3 linked regions of the Mus musculus genome follow. The protein of the gene in region 1 binds, or shares a complex with, the protein of each later gene. Links are inferred from orthologs where the notes say so. Each region holds a gene or a part of one and is shown on either strand. Other genes may lie near its edges.

What was found.
Region 2: the proteins of Stx17 (region 1) and Snap29 are in contact, whole or in part, in a crystal structure (PDB 4WY4), measured with the Homo sapiens proteins. The link is inferred for Mus musculus from reciprocal best matches to the Homo sapiens genes STX17 and SNAP29. Residues at the interface, in NP_060389.2 of Homo sapiens: Glu170, Trp172, Glu173, Leu175, Glu176, Leu179, Ile180, Ser183, Val186, Thr187, Phe189, Ser190, Val193, Asn194, Gln196, Gln197, Ile200, Ile203, Ala204, Val207, Asn208, Ala210, Ala211, Val214, Glu215, Thr218, Leu221, Gly222, Ala224, Ala225; in NP_004773.1 of Homo sapiens: Arg52, Thr56, Ser59, Thr60, Arg62, Ser63, Leu66, Glu69, Ser70, Val73, Gly74, Ser77, Glu80, Leu81, Gln84, Val87, Leu88, Thr91, Met94, Val95, Lys97, Met98, Asp101, Leu102, Ile104, Ser105, His108, Ile109, Ser111, Ile112.
Region 3: the proteins of Stx17 (region 1) and Vamp8 are in contact, whole or in part, in a crystal structure (PDB 7BV6), measured with the Homo sapiens proteins. The link is inferred for Mus musculus from reciprocal best matches to the Homo sapiens genes STX17 and VAMP8. Residues at the interface, in NP_060389.2 of Homo sapiens: Ser171, Trp172, Thr174, Leu175, Asp178, Leu179, Glu181, Leu182, Leu185, Val186, Phe189, Leu192, Val193, Gln196, Glu198, Lys199, Ile200, Ser202, Ile203, His206, Val207, Ser209, Ala210, Asn213, Val214, Glu216, Gly217, Thr218, Asn220, Leu221; in NP_003752.2 of Homo sapiens: Gly9, Val13, Leu16, Gln17, Val20, Glu21, Val23, Lys24, Met27, Thr28, Asn30, Val31, Ile34, Leu35, Arg37, Gly38, Leu41, Glu42, Leu44, Arg45, Thr48, Glu49, Leu51, Glu52, Ser55, Glu56, Phe58, Lys59, Ser62, Gln63.

Annotation. Positions count from the first base shown.
Region 1 is NC_000070.6:48,128,161-48,138,285, forward strand, and holds part of Stx17 (syntaxin-17), read left to right. Parts: intron 1-3,602; exon of another isoform or gene 3,603-3,604; 5' UTR 3,605-3,666; coding exon 3,667-3,789; intron 3,790-4,177; exon of another isoform or gene 4,178-4,378; intron 4,379-9,495; exon of another isoform or gene 9,496-9,647; intron 9,648-10,125. UniProt on the Homo sapiens protein: SNAREs, soluble N-ethylmaleimide-sensitive factor-attachment protein receptors, are essential proteins for fusion of cellular membranes.
Region 2 is NC_000082.6:17,424,037-17,434,161, reverse strand, and holds the end of Snap29 (synaptosomal-associated protein 29), read right to left. Parts: intron 7,126-10,125; coding exon 7,021-7,125; intron 6,020-7,020; coding exon 5,862-6,019; 3' UTR 3,336-5,861; downstream 1-3,335. UniProt on the Homo sapiens protein: SNAREs, soluble N-ethylmaleimide-sensitive factor-attachment protein receptors, are essential proteins for fusion of cellular membranes.
Region 3 is NC_000072.6:72,385,523-72,396,245, forward strand, and holds the start of Vamp8 (vesicle-associated membrane protein 8), read right to left. Parts: upstream 5,146-10,723; 5' UTR 4,955-5,145; coding exon 4,952-4,954; intron 2,899-4,951; coding exon 2,740-2,898; intron 132-2,739; coding exon 1-131. UniProt on the Homo sapiens protein: SNAREs, soluble N-ethylmaleimide-sensitive factor-attachment protein receptors, are essential proteins for fusion of cellular membranes.

The sequences.
Region 1 (10,125 bases):
GTGTAATACTATGCTACTATGTAATAAAAAGGTTTACATGGTAACATTTTTTTGTATACTTGGTCAGGTTATTCAGAATAAACCCAGTCAGTCAGTTAGTCAACCCAGCAATAAGTTATTATTTTCATTCCATCCTTTTATTTTCTTCATTGTTATAATTTTTTTTTCATAATCCTTAGCACTGTTTTGTGTTTTGAAGGGGAAAAGGTGAATTCAGTGAATGTTTAGTGACCACATCATTACCTCCCAGATACCAGATGCCTTAACAGACTCTGGGGATCCTGGAGAGCGCCAAAAAGAAATGTGCGTGTTCGTTCTCTCTCTCTCTCTCTCTCTCTCTCTCTCTCTCACACACACACACACACACACACACACACCCTTTCCCTCTGTCTCTCTCTCCCTTCTAGCTTGCTTTCTCTCCCCCTTTCTCCCCCTCCCCCTTTCTCCCCTCCCTCCCTTTCTCCCCTCTCTCTCCTTTTAATGAGTTTGTTAAACTGAGCCTTGCATGCCTGAAAATAATTATTTTGGCTTCACCACAGATGATAACTTGCCTAGGTATGCACCAGCTCCCGAGTACTTTGAAGATGTTCCTATCTTTTGATATATTGCTTTGATGAAAAGTTGGCTGCTTTTGTTGTTTTAATTTATCTGTTATCTCTGGTTTGCTCTTTAAGATCTTTTTCTTTGTCCTTGATGCTCTGAGTTTCCTATCATGTGCTTAGGTAAGTTTGTTTTTATTTATGCTAGCAGGATTTATGCATTTTTAAAACTTGACATCTGCCTTTACTTCTCAGCATAATTCCTTTAAATTCTTTCTTTGGGCTGTTTTTTGTATCCGTTTCTATTTGCTACTGAGCTTGTGAATTTATGTCCTTTATCTTCTCCTTTACAGTCTTCATCTTGTCATCGTCCGAGTTCTGAGTCCTCTCTCCAGCTAGGTGTGATTTCTTATTTATTTTATCTTTTGAGGTTTTCAGTTTAGAAAGTTTTAATTCCTCTCATGTACCAATTGGACTGTTAACTCTTTTGTAGCATTATTTTAATTTAAAAAAAGAGCCCACTCCTTTATGTCCTTTTGAAAATTTTATTCCTTTATATGTCTTTGTAGATTTAGGAATAGACATTTCTTTCTGAATCACTTTCTCATCTCTGTATCTGCCTGTTGTTATTTTCTGCTGTGGTCTGAGCCTATTTCTTTTGATACTGTACTTCTATCCATGTGTCTCTAGTTTATGTCTGCTCTCTGATTCAGTTTTAACCCTGATCTTGGTGCCTGGAAATTTTCCCTGAGAGCTTGTGTTAGGCATAAGAATCAAGTTCTTTGCTGGGCAGTGGTGGCACACGACTTTAATCCCAGCACTAGGGAGGCAGAGGCAGGCAGATTTCTGAGTTAGAGGCCAGTATGGTCTACAGAGTGAGTTCCAGGACAGCCAGGGCTATACAGAGAAACCCTGTCTTGAAAAACAAAAACAAAAACAAAAAACAAAAAAAAGTTCTTAGCCAATGGGTAAGGGAAGCAGCTTTAACTATAGCCATTGTTTGAAGATTTTCAACTGAAAGAAAGGAGAAAATCAGCGCATTATTTAAAGCAGCTCTTGATGTTTGGGGACATTAGGTCTCTTTGAGAATCTGAAAATAATGAATCCTAAAGAGTCAGGATCTCACAGAGTCTATGTGTAAAAGTGTATCTTTACAAGGCCTGGGTAAGAAGCCATAATCCAACAGAATTACATGTTCAATATGACTATGGGCTAAGGGGGTGACATCAAGGCATGATATCATTTGATGGTGTTCAAGCTTGGTTAAGCAGGGAAGCACATATTTATATAAGATCTGTTACAAGTACAAACTTATAAAACTGCTGTAAGTAAATGTCTCCAGTTAATGCCAGTGTGGGGTTTTAGAGCATGCTCACTTCCAGCTCCCACCTCTCCTGTCCTGTTCCCAGAGGCATATGCTAGGACTTTCAGTATGGCCATAGAATCCCGGTGACCCAGAATAATGTCTTCATACTTATATGTCTGAAGAGAATCTGGTTCTTTGACTTTTTAAGTATATGTATTTATTTGTGTGTGTCATGCATGTGCTATGGTGTGCATGTGGAGGTCATGCATGTGCTATGTCATGCATGTGCTATGGTGTGCATGTGGAGGTCAGAGGAAGGCTTGTGGGAGTCAGTTCTCTCCCACGTAGGACCTGAGAATCAGTCTCAGGCTGTGTCTTGGCAGCAAGCGCCTTTTCCCACTGAGCCATCTCCTGGCCTTGTAAGTACGGTTCTTATTGGAGTTCTGTTGCTGGTTACTTAGTAGATCACTTCGTCTAAGAAGAGGAGATAAGGGCCTTCCGTGAGAGGAGTTCTGTATTGTGAAATGTGCTTGAAGTATATAATTACACAATTACATTATGATGACATTGGAAGTGGAGCTTGATACAAGCAGAAATGTTAAGAGGGAATTTTTTCCTTGCAGGTTTGCTATTTGGCAGTTTTTAAAACGATGGCTGTTCTGTGCCCAAACATATCAGGAAGCCATCCTCTTTTTTTTTTTTTTTTAAAGAAAGAGAGCATGGCTTATTGAATTGTCTCCTGTCTTTTTTTTTTTTTTTTTTTTTTGGTTTTTTGAGACAGGGTCTCTCTGTGTAGTCCTGGCTGTCCTGGAACTCACTCTGTAGACCAGGCTGGCTTTGAACTCAGAAATCTGCCTGCCTCTGCCTCCCAAGTGCTGGGATTAAAGGTGTGCACCACCACGCCCAGCTGCCATCCTCATTTTTAGCACACATACTGCACATTATAAAAGACCTCAGGAAACAGCCACAAAATGTAGAGGAGACGCTGCAGAATAAGGAGGTCATTGACAGCTTCATTTTACTCTGTTCATTTTCGTATTTTCTTTAAGTTTTTAATTGTATTTTAATTGTGTGTGTGTGTGTGTGTGTGTGTGTGTGTGTGTGTGTGTGTGAATAAGTTCTTTCTTTCTACCATGTGGGTCCCAGATATTGAACTCAGGTCTTCAGGCTTGGTGGTAAGCCCTTTTGCCCACTGAGCCATCTTGTGGTCTCTCATTTATACACATTTTCTGAACATTCTAGAGTAAGCTTGGAAGGTAGAGGCAGGAGCATTGGGCTTCCCAGGCCAGGCTAGACTTACATAGGTCCATCCTGCCTGTGCTGTAAAAATGAACACTATTTGAAAAGTGTTCAGGAATGACTAGATACAATTTTCATGAAGAGAATATTTTAATAACTATCATTTCATAGAGAAACAAAGCTATACACGTTCAGTTTTGGGTTTATATGTATTTAGAGTAAAGTATAATTGCATATTTTTTGCCTTTTATGTTTTAAAATTTTATTTTATGTGTATGAGTGTCTGTCTATGAGTATGTCTATGCACTATATGTGCAGTGCCAGAAAGGGCCAGAAAATGGTGTCAGACGCCCTGGAACTGGAGTTACTGACGGTTGCAAGTCATCACGTGGGTGCTGGGAGCCAAACCTGGTTCCTCTGGAAGAGCAGCCAGTGCTCTTACCCTCTCCAGCCTTGTATGTGTTTACTTTTAAAAAGAACGGAATCTGTTGTAAAAGCGTTCTTCAATGTTCCCCTTTAGGTGTTTCTGTTTGAGAGAAGAGAGCTGCTGCAAGAGGAAGTAGCGGCTCATCAGGCTTCAGGATGTCTGAAGATGAGGAAAAGGTGAAGTTACGCAGGCTTGAGCCAGCGATACAGAAATTCACTAAGATCGTGATCCCAACAGACCTGGAGAGGCTAAGAAAACACCAGATAAACATCGAGAAGGTGAGTGTTTCATTTCTATCACAGAAGCAGGTACCTGTGTGGGTTCTTCCTTGCTGTCTACGTTTCAGCTACAAGGAGAGTCTGAGGCTTTTCTGAGACCCCTCCACCCTGCTTATAGCAGCATTACTTTTCAACTGGTCTTCAAGTTCACAATTGTAATTCTCAAATATTCCTTTTATTATGTTGAGGAAGGGAGATGGGAGTAGAGTTTATGCCTTTTTAATTTACATGTGGAGGTCTTAGATAGTAATTAAATCACACTGTTTGATGGTGCCCCATAGTGTGAAGGTGGGGTGCTGTGGCTAATGGACCTGCCTTAATCTCATTCACCCCATGGCTAGTGTTTTGAACTTGTGCCTATCAAGAACTTCTATCCTCTTCAGGTGCACATGTAAACGATGTAAACAATTGTGTGATGTGAGGGAATTTCCTTTCTTCACTGCTTCTCTTTGACAAAGGATCCAAATTGAGAAGTTCTGCCAAGGCAGATGAGCTGCTCAGAGGCCCTGCCCTGGCCAGGGTGTGATGTGGGCCTGTGATGTTTACCGAAGCCTCAGGTTTACTGAGAACTGAGCTTTGACTTGGAAAGGTGGGTTGTCATCTGCTTTCAGCACTGAGCTGTGTCTACCTCTACTTCTTTATTTTTATTTTTATTTTTATTTTTATTTTAGGGTTAGAATGGATGGTGTGGTTATTAAGCCTTTCAGTATCAGCTGTATTTACTAAAAATACCAAAGTTTTTCTTCTACTGATTTTTCTAGTATTTAAGTGCTTTTAAAAAACACAAAAATTAATTTCTAAGATGTCTACAATGAAACTTTCTCTAGGAGTCTTCTAGAATTCAGGATTAATATTTTTCCATCCCCATTTCTTCTCTTCTTTATATATGGAGCATAAGCGATGGCTCTATTGCATCAGGATACAGAAGGAAGTATCTGCTAAACTGCTTCTTGCACTGGAAGAAAGTGAAAGCTCAAAAAAACACGGCTAATGAAACCTTTTACCTTGAGTTGAGCAATCCAAAGTAAACACGTCAGCTTCAATATTTCTCCATTACAAAGGATAAGAATTAGGTAGATGAACTGAATCTGAAAGGGAGAAACAAGAGGTCTGTGAGCTCTTAAAGCCATTTCCCCCTTTATTGTCCTACTCTAAGTTTGACATTTAACATATGTTTCTCATTTTGCATGGAAATGCCTGTTGTCATTGCCCTTCAATCCTAGCTACAAGTGTATGTGATCCTATCAATGGGAAAGGGGGAACCCCACAGCAAATCGGAGGAATAGGGAATAGGGTTAGATGCATTGGTGATTGGATTAGCTGTACAAGGTGTAGTAAGAGAATTACCCTGGAGTTAGTGCCATCGATCCTGCTTTGCCTGAACATGTTTCTTTTAGCAGTTTTGCTTATTATGAAACCTTCAGACGTTATCAGATGATTATCCTGGACAGATAGATGGTAATGTCTAAAACCAAGAAAGTAGGCTCATACTGATTTATGCTTTTGTCTTTAAATATCCTTGAACATTCACTGTCTGCAGGGTTTCTAGTTTGCTTATGAAAACTCCTCTTTCTGTGCACAGGCTTGAATGGTGCATTTTGGTGGCTAGGCTGTGTTATGAAGCACACTTAAAACTGCAGCCCCTCACTCTGTTCAAAAGAGTTAAGAACTAAATTCAGGCTCCAGGTGTCTTACGTGCCTTACTTTAAAAGAGGCATATTCTTCTTGAGGAAAAGGTGTAGAAAGATAAAATATTTATTATTCTGGCCATCAGTCATCCAATATGAATTTAAAAGAAGAAAGCCAGACTGAAGGGAAATTGAAGGTAAGCCTTTTGTAGAGTGAGTCTGCAACAATGAAAACAAAGAGAGCAGTGTGCTGGGGACACCTGGGCCATGTGCATAGCCCTGCAGGGGGACCCTGGACACATGATGAGTGTTGCTAGCATGGGATGCTGACGTTTGAAGCCTTAATGTGTGAGAGGTGTAGTCCAGTAAGGAGGAACTGCAGGGTAGCCAACTTGGGACACAGTTGTCTTTGTTTCATATTGTTGGGATCTAAAGAGAAACATACTGTGTGGGATGTACACAGGGTTCTTGTGAATTAGTTTATGGGTAAGATGCAAGTGGCAGAAACCCCCTAAGTGGCTTATCAGATAAGGTGGAGTTTGTTTGCCTTGGATTTGCCTCCGTCTCATCTCTCATGGCGGTGGAAGTTGTCCATTACCTGCAGGCATGTCCCTCACACCAAGCTTCATCCTCCTAATGATCTTATTAGGGCTTTTTCATTTTGAAGGTAAATTCCTCAGTAAAGAAGGTGCAGGAAGTATGGCGCTGAATAATTTTACTTTCTGTCTTACATCTGTTAATGACACGCACCCCATCATTTGCCTCCTGTTTTACATCTGTTAATGACATGCACCCCATCATTTCCCTCCATCCAAGCTTTGTTCTTTGTTCAAATCTCCCAGCTCTGATTCTTCCTGTGGGGTATGCTCTGTAATGTCATCACTTCATATTAAACGCACTATCTTGACACAGCCTGTTTACAGATTTAATACCTGTGTTTTAACTGCAGTCTACCTATTGGAGTTATTTTATCAGAGGTGAGGCTATAGTAGGGATAAAGTGGGGGGCTAAGAGGGCTGAGTGTACTATGCATTATATGACCATCCATCTGACCTAAGTGAAGGAACGTGAACAGGAAGACAGCAGAGAGCACCAAGGGATTCCTGGCCCGGGCTGCTTGCAGTATCCCATCTCATCTTTGTCCTTATTAGGTTTGGAGTCCAGGATCCCCAGCTGGCCCTGCAGAGAGGGTTATCGTCCATGGTCATGGACAGTTGCTTGAGCATGTAGGGATGTAATGTGGCAACTACTTGCAACTCCCAACAATTGCTCTCTCCCTACTACACTCTGTAGGGAGTTGCCTGTACCTAGTAGCTCTGGATGCCCACCCTTCCTGGAGTACAGGTGCCTGTGGCCTTCAAGCACCCCCTGCCCCGAACTCCCAGTCACCTCTGCAGCCTCAAAATTGTCCCTCTGGCTGGTCTGCCGAATCCACTACAGTGTGTCTATGTTCTTCCCAGCTTCTGAAGTTTGCATAAAAGTTCTCGTCTGTTGGTGTCCTCTGCTGGGTTCTCGCTGCTCTTGTGCATTTTTACTTCTTAATGTTCTTTATTGTACTTGCCTGAGATTTTGAGCAGAGATGAATGTTCACATTCAATCTGCCAGGTTTAATGAGAAACAAGATTATTTATTACAGGAAATAAATATTAGCTTTGTGTTTGCTGTTTCTCAGATTGTTTGCATTGAATAATATGTAAAAATAGATTTCCAATTCTCAAGAAGTTTGCAGTTCAGTTAAAGACACAAGATAGGAAATAATCAAGAATGATGGAGGCAGCATGTGACTGTGTGTGGAGTGGGAGACGTGGACTCAACAGTCAGCATGCGCCTGCACCCAGCAGTACCCAGCAGTACCCAGCAGCACCCAGCAGCACCCAGCAGCACCCAGCAGCACCCAGCAGTACCCAGCAGTACCCAGCAGTACCCAGTAGCACCCAGCAGTACCCAACAGTACCCAGCAGCACCCAGCAGCACCCAGCAGTACCCAGCAGTACCCAGCAGCACCCAGCAGTACCCGGCAGTACCCAGCAGCACCCAGCAGCACCCAGCAGTACCGAATGAAAGAAGCAGGGATACTGCTGTGCTACTTATGTACTTGCTCATATTTGCTTGTTAGTTTGTAATCAGAGCGAATCCCCTCCCATCCTGTGACTGTCTCCTTTACCAAACTCACATGGGGAGTGATACTGGATTTGGTAAATGTGATCATTTACTTCTTGTCCATGTTTGGTTATCAAGGATATAGCTATATCTCACAGTTCTGGCTAGTGAACCTTGATCGATTGCCTTGTAGAAATTTGGAAACTTCTAGGAATATTTTCCTACTTAAAAAAAAGATATACATATAAGGAAACATTTGCATTTCTTCCAGTGGTCTAGCTGTGTCTTCCTGTTGAATCTGGAAATATAGCCAACCAAGCTGGATTAGGGCACAATCGAGGGTGTTATTGGAAGTAGTAAAGCAGAAAGCAGCACCCAGGCATGTGACAACCTTTTAATGTCTGTATTGAACCACTGTCACATCCCTGGGATGACTGCTACACTCTTGGCTGCTTTCTGTGTTTGTTGTTGGAGCCATTTTAAAGTTCGTGTTTCTGTATTTTGCAACCCAAAGCATAATGTGGTAGTTTTGCCTTAATTTACCTGCCTGTTCTGCTGTGCAGATAGACAAAGACCATCTCCTATAAAAGCCAGCAGTGTAGAGGTGCTGGCCAGTGGCCCAAACTTAACTACAAATTTAAAAGTTGCTGCTTCTAGTGTTTTTACGTATATTAACTCACCCTACTTTCTACCACGCCCCACCAAATAGTTGGGATAATAACTTTCATAGTATATCCTAATTTCACATAAACTTGAATAGTAGGCAATAGCAATGTGAATTCTTTTCTCCTTTTCATTTTTGAAATTCACTGTATTAAGGGATAATGCCATTGAGGCAGTAATCACTTCTCCAGCCTTTTTGAGATGTGGGTAAATAATGACAGCAGAAGCAAAGGCCGCTGCTTTTCTTTGCTGAGAATTATGTTACAGGTTTCCGTATGTTATAACATTTCATTTTTCAATAGATTTATAGGTCAAATATTATTGATGCTTTGTCTTCTAGTTTTTTATGTTTATTTATTATTAATGTGATGTACGGGGACACACATGCCATAGTGTAGATGTGGAGATCAGAGAACAACCTTTGGAGTCCTTTCTCTTCCTTCTGTGTGGCTCCTGGGGATTAAACTCAGTTCTTGGGCTTAGGGCCAAGCCATTACCTGCTGAACCATTTCACCAGCCTAAGTTTTGCTTTTTGAGACAAGGTTTCACTATGTAAGCCCCAGCTGGCCTTGACCCCTGGACCTCCCTTTTCTAGCTCCCCAGTGCTGTGACTCCAGGCCTGCGTTGTCACACTGCACTGTGTGTTACGTTGTAGGTGGAGAGACATTGAGAGCAGATCAGCTGCATATGTGGAGGTTGCTATGTTAGTACATATGTCTAATGTATACGTTCTTGAGAGTGCACTTCCAAGAAGGGCACTCTCTTGGCTCCACGGCAGAACCTCATATGCACATCATTGTAATTGTCACCAAGTGCGGCACTGACCTCTCATCTGTGCTAACTCATCCTTCTTTTATGTCACCTGTGAATTTGATAGTTATATGTTCTTTATTTTGAAGTTATCAGTGAGAGTGCTAGACAGAAAAGGGACAAGGTCTCTGGTTCCCCAAGGTCTGGTCTCTCACACCATCTCCATCTCTCAACTAATTTTGTAAACACTTGCCTGAAGATTTACATTAATATTTATAGCCCAGGTCAGTCATTTTATATATATATATATTCTTTGTGAAATTAGGTCAACATTTGCAAATATTAGGAATTTCTCCAGTTCTTCATAAATATACATAAGTATTTGCAAGGTTTCCTGGTTTACTCAGATGTCATTTTCTTGTGCCTGTTGATTTGAGCTCATTTGAAGTGAGTAGGTTTACTCTTTCTTGGTTTTCTCCCCTCCCTCCCTCCCTCCCTCCCTCCCTCCCTCCCTTCCCTTCCTCCCCCCTTCCTTCCCTCCTTCCCTCCTTCCTTTTTCTTTTAGGAGAGAAGGGGTTGAATTTGCTAACGATAGAACACAGAACCTCTTGGATGCCAGGCAAGCACTGCAGCTGTGAGCTGTATCCCTAAGCCTGTTGTTGTTGAGATAGGATCTCCCTAAGGTGCCCAAACTGGTCCTGAACTTTTGGATGTCAGGTAATCCTCCTGTCTCAGCTCACTGGTTAGCTGAGATTGCAGGCATGTTCCTTCATACGTAGTTTTATTTCCTCCTAATGACTTATTAGAACTTTTCTACTTTGAAGTTGAATTCCTCTGTAAAGAGGGTAGAGGAAGATAGAAGGCGCACCGAAAAGCTTGGCTTTCTGTCTTATGTTTGTAATGGCATGCACCTTACCATCCGCTACCACTCAAGCTTTGTTTTTTGTTCAGACCCCAACTCTGGTACTTCCTGTGGTGTATACACTGACTAATGCCATCACCTCAGACATAAGCACACAATCTTGGCACAGCACTGTGCAGTAGACCTTGGCATTTATATATTTAATGCCCATTTTTGACTATTTGGAGCAAAGCTGCAAATATCTGTGTTTCCAGACAATTATGATGGTGAAATAATAATTGCATAAAACCATCATAAGGAGTAAGATATTGGATGATGGGACTGGAGAGTTAG
Region 2 (10,125 bases), on another chromosome or scaffold:
GCTCTGTGGTGTTGGCAGACTTATTGTGTGCAGGTCTCGTGAGGATGACCACAGCTGCAGCAAGTGCAAGGCGTGCCACATCCAGAAGACAGCTTTCTGCAACACACTTCCCCATCCTCTTCTGGCTCTTCCACTCCTTCTAATTCTTCTTTCTCAGTGTTCTCTGAGCCTTGAAAGGATACTCTAGATGATCCCTCCCACACCCCAAACTTTGAGACAGGGTGTGATGGCTCTTCTTGGTTGTCAACCTGACTACATCTGGGATTAACTGAAACCCAAATGACTGGACATACCTGTGAGGGGATCTTTATGTATTTCCTTTCCTTTCTCTCCCTCCCTCCTTTCCTTTTCTCCCTTCTCTTCTCCTCCTCTTCTTAATTTCTTCTTTCTTTTTTTCTTCCTCCCCTTTTCTATAAGAGACAGGGTTTCTCTGTGTAGCCCTGGCTGTCCTGGAACTCCCTCTACAGGCCAGGCTGGCCTTGAACTCACTTTGCAGTTCTTCTTACGTTGTGATCTGTCTTTATGGCCCCTTCAACATACAAATATGATGATGCCATTTTCTTACTTAGACACCATCATCTTTGAAGGTCAGTGTTGTAACTCCCCACTAGGGCTCTTAGAGCCTGTTTTACTTCAGACTGGCCCAAGAAGAGCAGTGTGGCTCTAGGACATGGACAAGCTAGCCTTCTGGCAAACAGATAGGTATCCTGGCCTGGCCTGAGGGTGCCAGGTAATTCCTATACCATTCAAGCAAAGATGGAGACAGAACAGTGGAAGTGATGTCTGTCCCATCCTCTTCCTTGGCAGGAGCCTCAAAACGGAACTGCCTGCAGCCCACACTGGCCTTTCCCTCTCCACAGACCTACCTCTTAAGTCTAAACAGGAGGCAACAAACTATGACCCACTGGCATCATTTTCTATCTCCCATGAAATGAAAGATTCTGATTTTTAAAAAAAAGATAGATTTATTTATTTATTTATTTATTTATTATATGTAAGTACACTGTAGCTGTCTTCAGATACTCCAGAAGAGGGCATCGGATTTCATTACGGATGGTTTGAATCACCATGTGGTTGCTGGGATTTGAACTCCAGACCTTTGGAAGAGCAGTCGGCGCTCTTAACCACTGAGCCATCTCGCCAGCCCCCTGATTTTTTTTTTTAAAGTGGATGGAAAATAAACAATAGTTTGTGAAATAACATTCAGTTTTTATGTTTATAAATACTGTCTGACTGGAACACAGGCACTCTCATTTGTGTATTGTGGATGGTTTTGTGCTACTATGAGAAATGGACAGTGCTACAGAGACCGTAGCACTATGGGCGTGGCACACTTTTTTTTTTTTTTTAAAGATTTATTTATTATGTGTACAGTATTTTGCCTGCATGTATTTCTGCATACCAGAAGAGGGCACCAAATCTCAAGCCACCATGTGATTGCTGGGAATTGAATTCAGGATCTCTGGAAGAGCAGCTAGATGATCTTAATTGCTGCTGAGCCAGCTTGGAAGCCTAGCTTGGAGCACTTAAATTTTTGTCATTTCAAGAAGTTTTCTATCCCAAAGTCATAAGGCTCAGGCTGGTGAGAGGGCTCACTGTGTAAAGGCACCTGCCTCCAAGCCTAACCTTTGGAACCCAAATGATGGAGGAACCAACTCCTGAACATTGTCCTGACACCTCCACATGTATTATGCTGGGGCACAAGAACAATACGCACACGCACACATGCACGTGCGCACACACACACACACACACACTTTTTTAAAGAGAGGACCTGATGATGATGGTGTGGCCTTTTAAACTTAGACTTCAGCCTTCAGAGCTGTGAGCCATGAGCTCTCTGTTACCTCCTCTGCATGTTTAGTGTAGTGAAACTGGTAACGATAGACATTTCATCTTGAGCCACTGCACTAGAGAAGAGGTGGTAGCATTTACTGAGATGGATAGCTAGGAAATAAAAAAACAAATTCAGGTTAAAAAAAATCTATGTGTATGTTTTGCCTGGATGTATGTCTGTGTAACCTGTGTATGTCTGGAATGACAGATGGTTGTAAACTACCTCATGGATGCTGGGAATTGAACCTGGGTCCTCTGGAAGAGCAGCCAGTTCTCTTAATGATTATACCAACCTCCAAATTCAGAAACACACACACACCCTGAAGATAAGGCTCATTCAAGCAAAGCAGAAAACTGCAGAGGGGTGAGACGATGGCTACAGGTTGGACAAGCTTTCTGATGACATTGGGTTTCTGACTCACTTTTATCTTTTCAGTAGTAGTGGTGCTGGGGATTGAACCCATGGCCCTCTATGTGCCAAACACATGCCTTACCACCTGGCTATCTTCAACTTAGAGGGCTCCTAAATGTGGCCTCAAGGACCAAACACATTAACTAAGGAGGGTTCCCCCCTCCACCCATGATTTGATAGTGGCATGTAGATAGGTTCTGATTAAAAATTAACCTCCTGATACTCATCTTCTGAACTGAGGGCTGGGGGATGGAAGCTAATCTGACAGGACAAAGACTCTTTCACCTCCTGCCAAATGAGTGCCTTTAATGATGGCTTTACTTTTCTGCCTTTTTTTTTTTTTTTTTTTGCCATGGTCTCATGAAGCCCAGTTTGGCTCTCAATTTGCTGGTAGTAGCTGATGGTGACCTTGAACTTTTGATCTTCCTGGCTCTACTCCCCATGTGCTCCAATTACAGGGATGTGCTCTCATGCTCACTGGTAGCTTACCACTTTGTATATAAAGGCTCATTCACTGGACTTGAAGATGCTTAACATCAGTAAACTTCAAAACTTCTACAGAACGATCAGCAAAACGGCCCAGCAGGTAAAGGCCTTGCCTCTAAGCCTGATGATCCGAGTTTGATCCTGGAACTTAAAGGGTGGAAGGAGAGGACCAACTCCTAAAAGATTCCATGTCCCCTGGAGCTCATACACAGACATACAAATAAATGTAAAACAAAACAAAATAAAACAAAAAGTAAAACTCTTTAAAAATGTCCTGCATAGGGTTGGGGAAGCTTGCCAAATGACAAGCATGGGGACCTGAACTCAATCCACAGATCTTGTGACCTGTGTAAGAAAACTTATCAAAAGCACACATATCCTCACTGTGTGCTTGAAATCCCAACACAAGGGAGGGAGAAAGGGTGGCTTGGGGTTTGCTGGTGAGTTCCTGGCTAGTGAGAAAAAGTGGGCAGGGCCTTAGGAACAACATCTGAGGTTCACCTTCTCCCTCCCTCCCTCCCTCCTCCCCTCCTCCCCTCTCCTCCCCTCTTCTATCACACAGGCACACCTCTCTGAAGAAAGGGGCTTAGTCAAGCAAAGTAGATTTTTTTTTTTTTACTGAAGTGATACATTATACACTTAAAATTGCACATTTATAAGAAGAGAAAGGGAAATTAAGACTCTCTGCTCTCTTGTTTTACTTGTTACATGAATGAACATCAGGCCTCTCCTACAGAATGAGGAAAACCAACTGAAGACGTCACTCTAATGCTGCTAAGTTACACGTCAGTAACGGTTAGTCTTCTCCAGAGGACAATGCACTTGTTTTGGTAGCACACATACACATAGCTAACCTAAAGTTACAAATGCCACCTTTCTGAAGGTAGGGTGCTTCAGTCTGTCTTGCAGACCTCACATGACAAGGATATGTTCACTGGTCTGTGAGACAGAAAGTCCATTCCACTTCTGCCTGCCACCTCGCCAACACTAACTCTTCCTAAGCCAGAGCGCAGGAGTGAGTCTTTCTTCCCTCCCTCCCTGCCCACCTTCACCCCCCTCCCCCCGACACACACACAACCACTGATATTCAGGGTGAGACAAGATCTCACCCTGAACCTGGAACTCATGGTTACCCTTCTGCCTTGGCCTAAGTGCTGTGATTACTGTGTCAGCCAGCAGATCTGGCTCTGGAGTTTCCCCAAGTCCTTTGTATCTGTGTCTTCCAAACAACCCTGCTTTGTAAGGCAGCATCTGCCTCAGCCAGTCTCCAGCAGGCCAAGGGATAACTTCAGTGGACCACAGAGTCTGAAGAACAGACTGGATGAGGACCTCTAATGGTTACAGGAAGACTGTTTCATGTTCATGGAGCAAAAAAAGATTGGGAAAGGGGTGATTGGCTTCATTAATTTAGCAAAACAAAGAAAGGTACATAAAATGTCCCTTTGCCTCAAGTTAGCTGATTTACACTAGGATGACCATGGAAGGCATTCTCATGTGTAAATTTCTTAGGACTGAGGTATATTGATCAATTTCTAAAAGGCTATGCCTGATAGTGATGAAGAGAAACAGTTATAACACTTGGAAGGTTTTATAGAAAAAAACAAAACAAAACCAATTAGTGGAAATACATATGGATCAGTCTCTCTATATTGTTTGAGACAGATCTTAGTATATCGTCCTGGCTGTCCTGGAACTCACAGAGGTCCACTTCAGTCAGATTTCAGATTTGGGCCCTTTCTCCCTGTGGTTGCTGTATTTTCAGAAAGGTTGGATAATTTTTGACAAGAGTGTGTACATATTGCTACATGAACAGTAATAATCCTGTTACCCCATTTTCTGATCCTCTCCTCAATGGTGGAGACCAACCCCAGGCCCCGAGAGAGAAGAGTAGATAACTGACCACTGAGATGAACCCACTGCTTGCTTTGCTTTAAGGTACTGCAGACTCCAGATGCAAAAGGAAGGATCCTCAAATGGCACATGAGCCAAGTTTTAAGGCAAGAAGGCACCAGCATTATAGATTTTGACATATCTACTAGTAAGTCTCTTTTACCTTCTTCAAAATATGTGAGTTTGATTTTAAGATAGTCAGGTGTTCTGTGGCTTCAGTGACTTTATTGGCAGTACAAGGAAAAATTCTTGCAAGAATCAATTTTAATTAATACTTCTAAATATTTTCTTTTGGAAACTGAAGGGAGTGGACACAAGCTAGCTAAGATAGTCTCTGGGCCTTTTGGTCGAATCATCTGACAGACAGAAGGTTAGCATCATTTGTGGAGTCGAAGTCCCTAAACTAGGTGGAACACTTCGTAGCTATGGAGAATGCATGGGAATCTGGGATGGATGAGGAGACTCCAGGCACCGAATAAACAAGGCCTTTGGTTCTATTCCCAGAGGCAGAGGGCTCAGTAATACTCCATGCACACAAACCAACCTACCAGTTGGCTTTGAGCCAGTGGAGAAAGTCCCCATCAGAGATGGAAAGATGAGGTGAGAACAGGTGAGAAGAGGGGCCTAACAGTTCTGCTCTGAGTCCTTCTGCTAAAGTGCAGGACAAGAACAGAAGATGGGGATAGGGACAATGAAGGCAACACATTTCCGTTCTGTATGAACATGGATCCTTTTCAGGGGAGAGAGCTGCCATGTGCTCAGTGTGTGTGCAGGCATGTCCACAAGACTTGTCATATAAAGATGTGGAAGGACCTGTTCTTCTGTCACAAACCCAGGGTCCTTTCACATCTGAATTCACAGTAAGGCCTCGGAGTGAGAAACATAACAAATGGGTAAATGAAAGGCAGTAGTTCTGACACTCTGCCCGTGGCTTTGCAGACACACATGAAATCAGAAATGCAGTACTTTTTCTCCTTCCAGCATAGTGATCAAAGGCTCAAGGTGTTCACAGTTACTCAGCTTAGACTAAAACTCAGCAGAACAGCTCAATAATTTTAGAACTACTGGTCTTACCAAATGTGGAACACACATTTTTTCCCCCATTGAAACTAATATTTCAAAGACCCACATTTGAAAACACGTTATATTATACACTTGTAATAAGTGACATCCATGAGTTTAAGAGAGCCTTTCGAATCTTCTCATCAGGATGGAGCAGAGTTCCTCCTCCGTGTCTCTAGAGTTGCCGCACTTTTTTTTCTGTGCTTTTTATATTGACATCTAGCTTGTCCACTTTGGTTGTCAGTCGGTCAAGGATGTCATCCTGTTCCTCAATTTCTGTCTGCATTCCCAAGGCTATGTCCTTCAGGTGGCCTAATCCCACGGACAGCTCATCTGTGAGAAGGAAATGACAGGCTGTCACAGTGCCTCTCAACTACAGAGTCCTGCCTGAGAAGCTGTGTGCCACAGCTTGTAGCATATGTTTCTCAGAGTACACAGAAGTGAAAAGAAATATATTTACTACACAGTGATATGTGGTGAATTTGGTAGAGACCACTGTGTATCTCCTCCCTCTAGACAGCCACTGTTAAGGGTTTGCTTTTTAAGTACAGTCTTGATCTATAGCTCTGGCTGTAGCTAAGCAGTCCAGGCTGGCCTGGAAGCCACAGAGCCCTCCCTGCTTCTTCTGCTTGAGAAGATTACAGGGGTCACTGTTACACTGGCATTTCCGCCCTGCATGCTGGAGAATCAAGCACAGAGCCTTGCACATGCTAGGGAAGCACACTGACACTTAGTCATATCCTTAGTCTCTCTACACTTTCCATTTCAAGACAGGAGCTCACAGATTTTCTAGGCTGGCCTTGAATTTGCAATCCCGTCTTAGCCATCCAGATAGCTGGGACTAAGCTTGGCACACTATGTTTCTTGACGTCGCTGGAACCTGAGACCTTGTGTTTTCTGGAAAGTAAAATAAAGAGTCACCCATGCCTCATGAAACTTCTTGGGTTTGAGGACAATAAGGACAGGAAAAGAAGGCTGAGATAAAGTAGCTGGTTAGTTTTGGGACATGCCTCAGTGGGTCTGAGCACTTGCCAAGCAAGCATGAGGACCTGAGTTCAGATCCTTAGCATCCATGCAAAAGCTGTGTGGTTTATCCTGGATGCACTTAAGCCCCAGAGACGCCTAGGTCTGGTCTGGATTCACATGAGCAGTGGAGATGGCTTGGCTGGACTGATGTAGGAATGGAGAAGTGGACAGATTCCTGAGGTGTGAGGCAGTGAGAGGGACATGGCTGTGGGGTGTGACTTGCATCTACACAATGAAGTGTCAGTGCTGGGTGCTCTTGCTGTGCTCAGCAGAAACTGCCTGGAGGCTGTAGCAGCTCCCATACTTACCTAGGTTGCTGTCAATCTTCTGGTGATAAGTTCGAAGGGTCGAGTTCTTTGGGTAAACCTCAGTATTCACAGTAGAAGAAGGTTCTTTGGGGACCGAGTCTAGTTCTGAAAAAATACCAGAGGCACAGTTGTTGCTGTTTCATGAAATTGGTACATGCTTTTTGAAAGTCCTAGGGATATGTCCCTAGGAACACCAGGAAAGGACTAACGGGGTGGGAGAAAGGAGGTGAAAGGCTCTGAGGCCGTGCAGAGGAACAGGAGTGGGAACAGGACAGGTTTACAGGCTGGAGATGACAGGTCTGAGCTGGTCCCTCAACATTAACAGATCAAGGACCATCAACTTACAAGTCACTTGGTTAGATATGTAAAAAGATATATATATAACAGAGGAACTGTCAACGCAAAACTGCAGGCTCACAGGTGGGCTCTAGGGACAGGCTGTTTTGTTATTGTAGGGTTTTTTTTTAATTATTATTATTCTGATTGAAACCAGGCCTTGCGCATTCGAGGCAAGCACTCTTTTGTCGAGGTATCCCACAAATTCTTACCCTGTGTGTGTGTGTGTGTGTGTGTGTGTGTGTGTATGTGAGAGAGGGGGAGGCCTTGTTATGCTGTACAAGCTGACCTCAAACTCTGTGTTCAAGCTATTTCTGAAATAACTGGGACTATATGGGCATGCTACTACACCTGGCCAAGCTAGCAGAGATAGATTAAAAATTACCAGGTGTGGTGGTGCATGCTTGTAATCCTAGCACATGGAGCAAGATGAATTAGAGACCAGTCTGGGATAAATGAGGCTCAATCTCAAAAGAAACAAAATAAAATAAAACAAAACCATATAAAACCATACAAAACACACAAAAAAGCAAAGATCAAAATTGTTGTCTGGTGTGGTGATTTGTAGCTGAAATTCCAGCACTTGGAAGGCTAAGGCAGCAGGATCATGAATTCAAAGCCAGCCAGGGGCCGGGCGTGGTGGCACACGCCTTTAATCCCAGCACTCAGGAGGCAAAAAAAAAAAAAAAAAAAAAGCCAGGGCTATATAGCAAGGCTGTCTCAAAGAAACCAGAGGAAATGGAGTTATGTTACAAAATTAAAGATTTTTTTTGTTCTGTTTGAAATTGATTTTTATGTTGTCATTTCACTTTAACAAGCAGAAAGAAAATGCTAGGCAATGTATGTGTGCCTAAGAAATGTTCCTTGAAATTTCATTTCTAAACATATACTAAATATTCTCCCTCTTCTTTTGAGACAGGATCATATGTAGCTCAGGCTGGTCTTGAACTTGGTAAGTAGCGCTGAGGTTGGCCATGAACTACTGACCATCTGTCTCTATCTCCCAAGTTGTGTGCTACTCTCTCTCTCTCTCTCTCTCTCTCTCTCTCTCTCCTCTTTCTCTTCTCTCTCTCCCCTCCCTCCCTCTCCCTCCTCCTCTCCCCCTCCCCCAGACAGTTTCCCATGGTGTTCCAGTCTGGACTTGAACTCATGGCCATTCTCTTGTCTCAGTCTCCTACATGATAGGATTAAGTGTAAACCACCATTCCTATTCACTAGTTTCTCTCTTTGGGGGAAATATCTCTTAGTAGGTTTAGCATGCAGTTGTCCCTGACTATCTGTGTGCGATTTGTTCCAAGATCCTCCTGAGATACCGAAAGCTGGGGATGCCCAAATTCCTTGTGTAATAATACAGTTTCAATGTATCTCTCATATATGAAATCATTTCTGTATCACACAATATTTAAGCAAAGTCAGTACTTTGTAAATGGCTGCTTTATTGTTTAGGAACTAATGAGAAGAATCAAAATCTTGTACAGTTCAGTTGGCATTTGCCCTCCTGCCTTGCCTACAGTGCTTGGATGCTACCATACTGGGCTATGATTTTTGTTTGTTTTCTGAATATCTTACACCATCAGTTTGTTGAATTAAAAGATATGGGACTAGTGATACAGAGGATCTGACTGCATTTCCTCCAGCACTAACTACTGAAGCCAATCTCTCTATAGAATGTCTGTTTCCTTTTACCCTTTTAGCATGTGCCACACAATAGATAGCCACTTTTAATGCCCTCAAGTTATGTCTTTGGATGGAGGATCTTTTTGTATTTCTTCAAGGCATGACAGTGAAATGGCTTTCCTTGGGCCTTGTACATTTCAGTTTTCTCTTTCTTCCTTGGTTTGAGCCTTTCCAGAATAAACTGTGTTTACATCAGTCTGTCTTGACTTCTGACTCTTCCTTCATCAGGTCTCTCTGTCTGTCTGTCTCTCTCTGAGACAAAGTCTCCCCATGTTTTCCCAGCTAAGCCTGGGACTCACTGTGTAGCCCAGGTTGGACTCAAAGTTTCACCAGTCCTCCTACTTCTGTCTCCTGAGGGCCAGGATTGTAGGTGTGTCTACCATGCATAGCCATCAGGTCTCTCTTATTTGTTCATGTGTGGTGTATATGCACTTATGTGTGCAAGTGAACATGCATAGTCATACAGAATTCAGAGAACACTGAAAGTGGCCTCCATAGGTTCAAGTTTGAACACTTGGTTCCCAGTTGCCTCTATGCTCATGTATAACAACATGCCTGGTAGTATGGCTAGTTTTAATGGCAACTTGCCACAAATTAGAACCACCTGAGTCCCCAAAGAACTATCCAAATTGCCTTGACTGGTGTGGGAAGATTCCCCCATGCAGCACCTTCTGGTATCCCAGAAAAAATGGATTTGCCCTGTTATCAGGCTGCTGATTCCCTCACTGATAGCAGAACCAGCATTTCCAAGCTTTCATTTTCAACTAGGGAGCAGGCTTTGCAGAACCTCCAGGCTTCTGTCAGAGACTGGGATGACTGAAGCCCAGCCTGTAGACTCAGTGAGCAGTGTGGTTGACTCCTGGTAAGAGATGTCTGTTGCAGGACTCCTCTCACTGCTGAGGCCTTCAGTCGCAAGGCCTGAGTAAGTACAGGGTCCTCAGCTCTCAGGTGGGATTCTGCTGCTGTTACCATTGTAAGCTGTTTCATTAAATTCTGATACACTTCCTCTAGAGAACTCTGAGGACCCTAGCATTTTTTTGTTTGTTGATTTGGTTTTCCAACTGTGAAAGATCTACATATTGAAAATGGACC
Region 3 (10,723 bases), on another chromosome or scaffold:
GTACCAGTGGCAAAAAGTATAATGAGGATGACGATGATAAGGACAATCACACAGATGATGACAATCATCTTCACATTCTTCCACCAGAACTTCCGGGCCACCTTCTGGGACGTTGTCTTGAAGTGTTCAGACTGTTGGGGATAAGATAAAGTCGTGAGCTCCTGCCCTCAGACTGAGAGTACAGACGGACACCACATGCCATAGTATAGATGTTTACATTACATTATAAATCGAAGTAGGAAACGGAAAAAAAGACGCTGGAGCTGGAGGATAGCCACTTCGAAATAAAAACACAAATAAGTGAACAATTCTTTCCTCTTACAATAGGAATGGAAAGGTTCTTAAAAATACTTTATAACATGTATTTGTGCCTCTGCCTTATGTGCCACACTGCCCACGTGGTGGAGAGGGGTCGACTTGCAGGAAATGGTTCTCTCTTCTCCTCTGTATGTCCTGGGGATTGAACCCACGCAGCCAGGCTCGCTGACAAAAGTCTTTACCCACTGATCTCTCTCTGGTTTTTTTTTTTTTTGTTTGTTTGTTTTGTTTTGTTTTGTTTTACTTTTGAGACAGGGCCTCACTAAGTATGCCTGGATGGCCAGGAGCTTCAGAGATCTGTCTATCTCTGGCTGCTTCACAAATGTCTTTCTACAACAATCTGTAAGCCAAGTTCTAGTTTAGAATTCTTGAACTCATAAAACTTCCCTCTGAGCATAGCAGGGTCCCTTCCTTTTCTGTTTCTATCTTTCTAGTCGGGATCTCATACAGCAAAGCCTGGCCTCCACTCCTTGTAGCAAAGGATGACCTTGAACTTTTGTTTGTTTGTTTGTTTGTTTGTTGTTTGGTTTTTCGAGACAGGGTTTCTCTGTGTAGTCCTGGCTGTCCTGGAACTCACTCTGTAGACCAGGCTGGCCTCGAACTCAGAAATCCACCTGCCTCTGCCTCCCGAGTGCTGGGATTAATCCACCATGCCCGGCGACCTTGAACTTTTAAAAACAATATTTATTTGTTTGTTTGTTTATGTGTGTGGTGTGCACAAGCCACAGTGGAGGTCAGAGGTCATTTTATAGGAATCAAGACTACCAACCATATGAATCCCACAAATGGAACTCAAATCCTTAGGCTTGGTACCAAGTGTCTTTACCTTTTGAGCCATCTCAATGGCCTGGCTTTGAACTTCTGATCCACTTGCCTCTACCTTCAAAGAGTTCAGATTACAGGCGTGTGCCACAATACCATATTTATATAGTGCCAGGGACTGAACCCAGGGCTTCGTGAAGTCTAGTGAAGTACTCTACCACCTGAGTCTTATGTCCAGTCTCCCTTCTTTTTCTTGCCCCTGCACTAACCTGCATACTAAGGGGTCTTTTACAGATATATGCTCACAATTGGAGTTTGTTTGACTGGTAGAGAAATCTGGCCTTTGGAGCACAGACCCACAAGCTAAGGGGTACAGGAATGTGCTCCAGATGGGCACATGTCCTGGCTCAATGATACTTTGCTTTGTCTTCTGAGTTCTGTAGAAGCTGAAGGAAGAACCAAAGCACTGCAGAAACTTAAAAGAAAGAGCTGGGCGTGGTTGCGCACGCCTTTAATCCCAGCATTTGGGAGGCAGAGGCAGGTGGATTTCTGAGTTCGAGGCCAGCCTGGTCTACAAAGTGAGTTCCAGGACAGCCAGGGCTACACAGAGAAACCCTGTCTTGAGAAAGAAAGAAAGAAAGAAAGAAAGAAAGAAAGAAAGAAAGAAAGAAAGAAAGAAAAGAAAGAAAAGAAAGGAAGAAAGGAAGAAAGGAAGAAAGGAAGAAAGGAAGAAAGGAAGAAAGGAAGAAAGGAAGAAAGGAAGAAAGGAAGAAAGGAAGAAAGGAAGAAAGGAAGAAAGGAAGAAAGGAAGAAAGGAAGAAAGGAAGAAAGGAAGAAAGGAAGAAAGGAAAGGAAAGGAAGAAAGGAAGAAAGGAAGAAAGGAAGAAAGGAAGAAAGGAAGAAAGAAAAAAGCCTCCTGCTTCTCCAAGTTAATACAGACACTAAGTCTCCATGTGCCCAGCTTATGCTGCAGGAGGCACTAGATTCCAAGATAACCCAATGGACCCAGGAAGCCAGTGTACTCCACAGCAAGTGAAAACTGAGGCCCCAGCCTTGGTTTGTGTTAGACTTTCTTCTGCCCTGAGCAGCTTGGCCTCAGTCCATGGCAGCAAAGAGGAGGTCTAAGCAAGATGTGTGGGAGATATTATTTTGGCCTTTGCACACAGGGATCCTGGGGTTAAAGGATTTCATTGGTCTTCCCAGCTGTGCTTTAAAGCGGACTCAGCAAGACGCCCCCCACCAACTTCCAGCCTAATTACACCTGGAGGGAGAATGCTGAAAGGCCAAGGGTTGCCCGGAACTCATAACTTTGCCTTTGGGACATCAACTCCAAATGGTTGCCAAGGGCAAGCTTTGAGACAAAAATCAGTTTCATACCCCAATGAAGCTTAGGAATGGAGCAGTTGACTGAACTGTCTCAGAAATGGCTCTGTGGGTGGGCCCCTCACCCAAGCTCAAATCCAACCACTCACTGGGCTCTCTACCAGCCAGCAGAGTAGCAAGGAAGCAGAGGTGGAACCTCAGCCATCTCCTGCATAGGCAAAAGGGCAGTAGACATGACAGTCTGCAGTCCCTTCTGTTCACTTTGCCTCCCCACCCAAACTTCTCCCCCTCCCCGAGATCTGCCCCCACCAACTCCCAGTTTTCTCCCAATCTCACCGTGGCTTCCAAGTCCTCTGTCTTGTTTCGGAGGTGGTCCAGGTTCTCCCCTCTGGCCAAGATCCGCTCCACATTCTGGGTCATAATATTCTTGACTCCCTCCACCTCACTCTGCAGGTTCCTAACTCGGTCATTTCCGGCACTCCCACTGGCCTCCTCCTGGATGTCAATAAGGGGTTAATTAGGCCGGGCAGCAGAGGATCCAAGAGGCCAGAGGAGGTTGGAAGAACTAAAGTAGATTTTAGCCGTTTCTGATGCTTCAACTGTTTACCAGGAGAATGTTCTACGTAAATGTTCACTTCGATGCAAGCACGTTTATATCCCAGATCAGCCTCGGGTGGTCAGGTGTCACTCCTCCCTTGTTTTTTCCCCCACAGGCTGGGTCTCCTGTTGGCCTGAGGCTCTGAGATTAGAGTGGACAAAAAGCCCCAGGGCTCAGCCTTCTCCACCACCCTAGCACTAGGAGCCACCTAAGTGCTTGCTTGCACCACCACACCTGGAATTTTTTTCCTTCTAAATGGGTCTAGGGATCCAATGCAAATCTTCATGCTTGCGTAGCAAGCCCACTGAGCCACCTCCCCAGATTTATTTATCTGAGGCAGGTTCTCATATAACCTAGGCAGGCCATAGGCTTCCTAAGTAGGATGGCCTTAAACATCTGACCCCCTGTCTCTACTTACCCTGGGCTGGGATTCCAGGTGTGTACCATTATCCTTGTTTTATGAGGTGCTGGGGATGAAACCCAGAGCTTGACGCTTGCCAGGCAAACACTCTATCAGCTGAACCACATCCTTAGTCTGTCATAAGTGCATTGTGTGTGTGTGTGTGTGCTGGGGAATATACGTGTATGCACATGCCACGGCACGCATGTGGAGGTGAGAGGACAACTTTCATGAGTGGATTGTCTCCTCCAGTTGGATGGGCAGGAGAGAGCAGGATACTGAATTCAGGCAGGCAGGCTTGCTCTGCAAACACTTGTACCTGCCCAGCCATCTCGGCTGCCAGCCATGTAAGTGCATTTTTTAAGTCCCAGAAGATGAGGTTTGACCCTGGATTCTCATCCACCTTCTTTGGAGGATTTTCAGCGTGACAAGGAAAAACAAAAAAAAACAAAAAACAAAAAACAAACAAACAAAAAAACAGCACACGACTGCCCCTGTCTTGACTCCACAAAGAGGGTCAAGGAGAAAACCCAGCTGACGTTTCCTCAGCAGAGCACAGCCAAGAACTATTAACTGGTTCCTGTAGCCTCCCTCGGCTCAATCCTAGTGGGTTCTCTCTAAAACTGTGAGAGTTGACCAGCAGCACACTCTTGCCCGGCCCAACCCAAATAAATGCCCTTCTCCAGACAGCTGTTGGTGAGTTCTGGTTCCAGCCTACTGGGCAGTGTAGCCCCGGTTCAGTGGATGTGGCCCCCAGAAGGCATCATGTGCCGTTGGACCATATACTTCTGCTTTCCCCACAATTTAACGCCTGGTAGGCCGCACACCACCGCCTGCTTATGCAGATATTAATAAAAGTCCTTCCTGCTGCGGTCGCTCTATCCAGGAGGCCTCTAGATAAGGCTTTTGAACAAGGAGGGAAGAGGCCTGACTCCTCCCTTAGGGACCCAGGGGGCCTCAGGTACCGGCCACGGGTGTGGGCTGAAGCTAGATTATCGGGAAGAACCGCCATCTGGCTGCTTTACAAACCCTTGGCACTGTTGCTAATGTTTCTAGAAAAGGGTGGTGCTTTTGGTGGCCAGGCAGATAGATCCTCTGGGTGTCTGCATAGATACAGTGCGAGGGTAAGGGGGAGAACTCCAGTCCGCGGGGCTGGAATCTGAGCCCCAAAGAGCAGGAACGCTTGTGGCCCGGTAATGTCACAACACCGGGCTCAGGCCCAGCTGGAGGAGGCGGAGGAGGGGGAGGGCGCGGCGCAGCAGCTCGGCTTGGAATTTGGGTCCCCCAACCCCCACCGAAATCCTGATCGGATCCAGCACCGAGGTCACGGGAGGAAGGAGGTGGAGAAGTGTCAGGAACCCCTGGCCCGGAGTGCGGAGCTATTTGTGGAGGAGTTGTCAAAAGTAAGGAGACAGAGGCAGCGCTGGCCCAACCCCGCCAGCCCTCTGACTGCCGCCAACTTACCTTTCTCGACACAGGCAACCCCCAGGCCCGATCCCCCTCTGGCAGCTGCTCTAACTCGCTCTTTTCTTGGTCCCCACGTCACTCACCATGTCTCGGAGCACTTGGGCCTCTCAAAGCAGAACTTCGCCTAGTCTGTTTCCACCCAAGGCAGCCACAGCTTCACTTCCTGCTTACTCCAACTTTCAGCCCGCCTCCTGACCATCCCGCGACTCCAGCCACTCCGGCTCCTGCCACACACGTAACTGCAGGTTTCTCCAGGTAGGCGGCTGCCCTCTGCTGCCGTCCTCCTAGTCTCCTCCCAAACAAAAGCTTAAGCAACAGGGTTGGGGGAGGGGGGAAGGAGAAAAGAAGGATCAACAGTCCTCCTAAGTTTTCAGAAACTTCTTTTATGCTTCAAAGAAGTAATTCTAGTTTTTCAGGGACTTACATTAGCATTATTTAGATAGAAACGAATGTACAGGCGAAGATACCTTGTTGGGCAACCTTTGTCCCCAAGGGCCATCCTGTATGAGAAGAGAGCTCTAAGATCCCCCAGAAAACGGGGGCTAGGGAGATGGGTCAGCAGTTGGGATCACCCGCTGCTTTTGCAGTAACCCAGGTTCAGGTCCCTACACCCACCCCTGGCTGCTCACAGACACCTGTATCTGCATCTCGGGGGGGGGGGGGGGGCAGGGGCGGTCCAGATGCCCTCTTCTGGCCTCTGTGGGTATGTGAACATACGTGTGCATACATACACACACATACACATAATTAAAGTCTTTAAAATCTCCAGGAAAATTCCAAGTTGGCCCTGGGGGTGGGATCTTTGTCCCCCTCTAATGTTCTTCGGGTGCTAAGGCTGACCTCAGGCAGTGGGAGGAGTGCAAACAGCAGGGGCAGGGCACCTTATCCTTGTCACAGGACACAGGACAGTCGGGGAAATGGCTCACTCACCAGCCCCTCCTTTCCTTCTGGAGTTGAGCAGTCCTACACTTCCTTCCAAAGGTCACCGTGGGGGTTGGTGACCCTGGTCAGTTGTCAGAGGGTTGTCAGACAGATTAGGATGGGGGCCTAAGAGTAAAGGGTTTTTCCACCACATGTGGCTCTCCGCCAGAGAAAATCTGCTCTTCTCCGGATGGAGTTTGTCAAGACAGAACAATAACAGGGCAGAAAGAGAACAGACATTCTTTCCCACCCCAGAGTAAATAACACCGTCAAGGAGGAAATCTTAGCTCCTCCAACAAATAAGAGGGGTTTTGTTTTGTTTCATTTTGTTGGCTATAATAAATTTAGAATCCCGGAATCATTTTGGGACACTTATGTGTTTTCCCTCGTGCCTGCTCAGGCAGCCATGGAGGAGCTATATCTACAAACACTGCACGCTTAGTTTTACAGAAGCAAATTAAAGCAACTAGTAACACTTTAAAAAAATCTTTAAAAATTTTTTTTGTTGTTGTTGGTTTTTTTGGGTTTTTTTTTTGGGTTTTTTTTTTTTTTGTTTATTTGTTTGTTTTTTTTTTCCGAGACAGGGTTTCTCTGTATATCCCTGGCTGTCCTGGAACTCACTTTGTAGACCAGGCTGGCCTCGAACTCAGAAATCCACTTGCCTCTGCCTCCCAAGTGCTGGGATTAAAGGTGTGCATCACCACTCCCGGCTAAAAGTTTTTATCTTATTATCTTTAAGTGTGTGTGTGTGTGTCTGTGTGTGTGTCTGTGTGTGTGTGTGTGTGTGTGTGTGCCTGAGGGCAGAGGGGTTAGGTTCTCTGGTGAGTTGCAGACAGTTGTGAGACACCTGATGTGGGTGCTGGGAGCTGGACCCTTCTATGCAAGAGTAGCACGTGCTCTTAGCTGTAGAGCTCTCTCTCTAGCCCCTAGTAACACCTTAAAGCGGCACAACTCCTTTCCTTTCCTATAAAGCAAAAGAAAAATCTAGAATAAAGAGGAATGAGATCACAACAGAGAATGTCTGTACTACACTTGATCTTAGGCAAAAGGTCAAGAGGCCTTGAGAATGTCCCCATCCTGCTGATCAAGGGCTCAGTGGTCACAAAGAAAGAACTGGGTCCTGGAGAGATGGCCCTTTGGTTAAAAGCATGTATTGTTCTTCCAGAGAACCCAAATTTGATTCCCAGCACCTGGGTCAGGCAACTCATTACTTGTAACTCTAGCTCCAGGGATCTGACGCCCTCTTCTGGCCCCACAGACCCTATTCATACACACAAACACAGACATACATAGTTAAAAGGTAACAGTAGCTGGGCAGTGGTGGTGCACGCCTTTAAACCCAGCACTTGGGAGGCGGAGGCAGGCGGATTTCTGAGTTCGAGGCCAGCCTGGTCTACAAAGTGAGTTCCAGGACAGCCAGGGCTACACAGAGAAACCCTGTCTCGAAAAAAACAAAAAACAGAAACAAAAAACCATAAAAAAAAAAAAAAAACTCTATATTTTAAAAGATTCATCTTAAATCACAAGGAGGTTTATAAGACAGAACCTGCCTGGGCCAGTGTGGTGACGAATGCCTTTAACATCTTGGGAGGCAGAGGCAGGGGGATCTCTGGGAGGCCAGCTAGTCTACAAAATGAGATACAGGACAGGCAGGACTACGTCTCAAGACCCTGTCTCAGTGTCGAAGGCTCTCTCAGTAGCAACAGAGTTTGCCTAGAATCGCCAAAGCCCTGGGTTCTGTCCCAAGACCTCCCACCCCCAAATGCTTGCTCTGTTCTTTTGCTGCCCAGTACAACGCTGACTCCATACGGCCAGTGAGCTCTCCCAGCGCTGCTAGTGAGAACGGAGGCTGGAAAATGCACAACAGATTACAGCAACTTAGTTCGAAAAGAAGAACGCTACTTTCATAAATGTCATGAACGTTTTACAGCCTTGTGCAGTGCTGCTCCAGAACTCAGGAATCTGAGCCGGGGCAATCACACATTCAAGGCTACCTTGGGCTACAAAGCCAGACTGTGTCTCCAGTCAATCATTCATCAATCAATCAGTCAGTCAGTTAATCAATCAGCCAGTCAGCCACATTTTCTTTCCTAGCTGGAAAGAGAGTCCAGTGCTCCCTGCAGTGCCAGAGGAGCCCTCGACCTCCCGAGCCACATTCACACTGCACCTCCAGCCTCTCTGCTAGAAAATGTAAACTACACAACTAATAACAACTTTACTCTTTTGTCTTTGGATTCCAGTGCTGGGGGAACCCAGGGGTTTGTGCACCATTAGGGAAGAATCTACTGTGGAGCATAGCCCCAGTCTCATTCTGTTTTTGTTTGTTTGTTTTAAGGACTTAAAGATGTTGGAATCCTGGGACTGTTGTGAGTCACCTGACATGGGTGTGGATGACCAAACTCAGGTTCTTCTGCAAAGGCAGATTGTACTCTCAACTGCTGAGCAACCTCCCCAGCTTTCTCTTTGGATTTTTATTTTATTTTATTTTATTTTATTTTATTTTATTTTATTTTATTTTTTGAGATGGAATCTCATAACGTAGCTCAGGTGGCCTGGAACATGATATGTAGTCCACGGCGGCTCAAACTCACAATTATCTTCCTCCTCAGATTCTAAATTTGGGGATTACAAGTGTGAGCCAAAATGTCCAACTGTCCTTTTTCCTCCCTCCCTCCCTCCCTTCCTCTCTTTCTCCCTTCCTTCCTTTCTTCCCCCTTTTCTCCCTCCCTACCTCCCTTCTTTCCTTCTTCCCTCCCCCATTTCCTCCCTTCCTTTCTTTGCTAAGGACTGAACCAAGAACTCTGAGGTAGACTCTGGGTTGGGTGTGACCCACTCAGGTTGTTTTTCTGTGAGGTTTTTGTTTCTAGAAAGAAGAGGTTTTTGTTTTTGTTTTGTTTCTAGAACTTCAGAAGAAATTAAAAGCTCAGTGGCTTTTCTGAGCCTGGGTTGTTACAAAAGTGTGATTTTTCCCCCCTTGAGACAAGATCTCATGTAACCCAGACTGGCATGGTACTCGCTATGTAGCTGACAACGATCCTGCTGTCCTCAGCTCACTGGTGCCCGGCTCACAGGCTCACAGGCTCACAGTACCATACTTGGGAGTGGGAACTCACCTTTGAGTTACAGTCCCTTTGTAAGGAATGAGGGAATAGGCTGGAAGCTGTGGCTGGAAGCTGTGGCTGGATGCTGTGGCTGGATGCTGTGGCAGGATGCAAGCCATGGCAGTGTGTTAAGGATGCTCTCAGTATCTAGTGAATTGGGCTTGGGCTTGGGCTCTCCTGATGTATGTGCTGGGCAGCTTTGGGCAAGTTTTCCTCTGGAACTTTCAGTTTCTGGTTCCCGAAATAGGAATGAGAATGAAGGCTACTTGCAAAGTCACGTTTTATGCCAGCATATGGCTCACTCCTGTAATCTCATCCTGAGAAAGCCAAGCAGGAGCCAGCCTGGACTACACGGTGAGCTTGGCGCCAGCCTTGGCTAACAGAGTCTCAAAAAGAAAAATGACAATAAAATAAAAAGTCAGGCATAGCACGACACTCCCATACTCTTTATACTTGGGAAGCAGATTGAACATGATCAGGAGTTCAAGGCCAGCCTCAGCTATATAGCTATAGACAGAATCTATCTCAAAAACAAAGCAAAACAAAAGCAAGTAAGAAAAAAAAACACAAGTAAGAAAAAAAAAGAGAGAAAATGGAATGAGGAACTAGGAAAGAGGGATATTGCAGTCTGAAGAGGCAGCTAGTTTCAGCTGGCTGGGTTATATGTCAGGACTTCATCTCTAAAATGAACAAAGAGAAGTTGGATGTAATGGTTCATGCTTTTAATTCTAGCAATTGATCAACACTGGAAACGGATCACTTTGAGCTGGAGGCTAGCCTAGGCTATATAGTGAGTTCCAGGCTGGAGTGAGAGAGTGAGTCTTATCTCACAATTTCAACCAAACAATTGCGCTTTAGACTAGATGTTGGGGAGAACCAAAAAGCATAGTCTCCTTTGGGTGACAAGCTCTCAGTCCCCTGAATGCCGTGCAGGAAGGCCTTTTGTTCAGGAGAAACGTGGTGGGTCTGCGGCATTTGGGGCTCTTGGTGGCCTTTACATGCTTTTGTTGTGCTGCTTTGTAGGGTAGCCTTGTTTTTTGCTTGACATTTAAAAATAAAACTATCTTGGGGAAAAAAATTAAACAACATAAGAACAAGGAAGCCGGTGCCAGACATGGTCACACATACCTGTAAAGCTGGAACTGAAGGGTGGAGTGGTGAGGCAGGAGAGCTAGCCTGGGCTACCAAGTGAGCCAGCACACAACACAAAATCAAGCAAGCATAAAAGTAAGGGCCCGGCTGTCGTTCTGTGATTCTCACCTCGCCTGACCAGGTCCAGCTTTGATCCCCGCACCACAGCTCGAGTTGTTCCATATCTTTATGCATTCTGGGTCATTTTACGATGTTTTTTTTTTTTTTTTTTTTTCTTGTCACCAACTCCAGCTTCCTAGTGGATGCCAGCACGGTCTCTTCTCTAGATGCATCCATTTCCAAACTCACCTGTCTGGTCCCATCCATTCCTTTGGAAAGTGCTTGTTGTGTTCCCCAAACACATTTGAGTAAACTCACCTTACCTCCAGGCTAAAGCCAGCCTCCCTATGCAGGCAATCCAAGTGTTCACCCACTTTCCCAAGCCCTCGTGAGGCAGCTTCAGCCCTACCCATGCCCGTCCCCTTCAGTTCTACCCATGCCCAGCCCCAGGCACCCATTTTTGCTTAATGGCTCCTTAACTTCTTGGACCTGTGGGAATTTCTCATATTTCTCTATGTCTGGAATTCCCCACAGAATTAAACTCTCTTCTTCCTCCCCCATCTCCGTCAGTTCCCTTTGGCACAGCATCTGTCATATGCGTGCACATAGCTGCATACACATTCTGCTTCCTCAAGACTTACA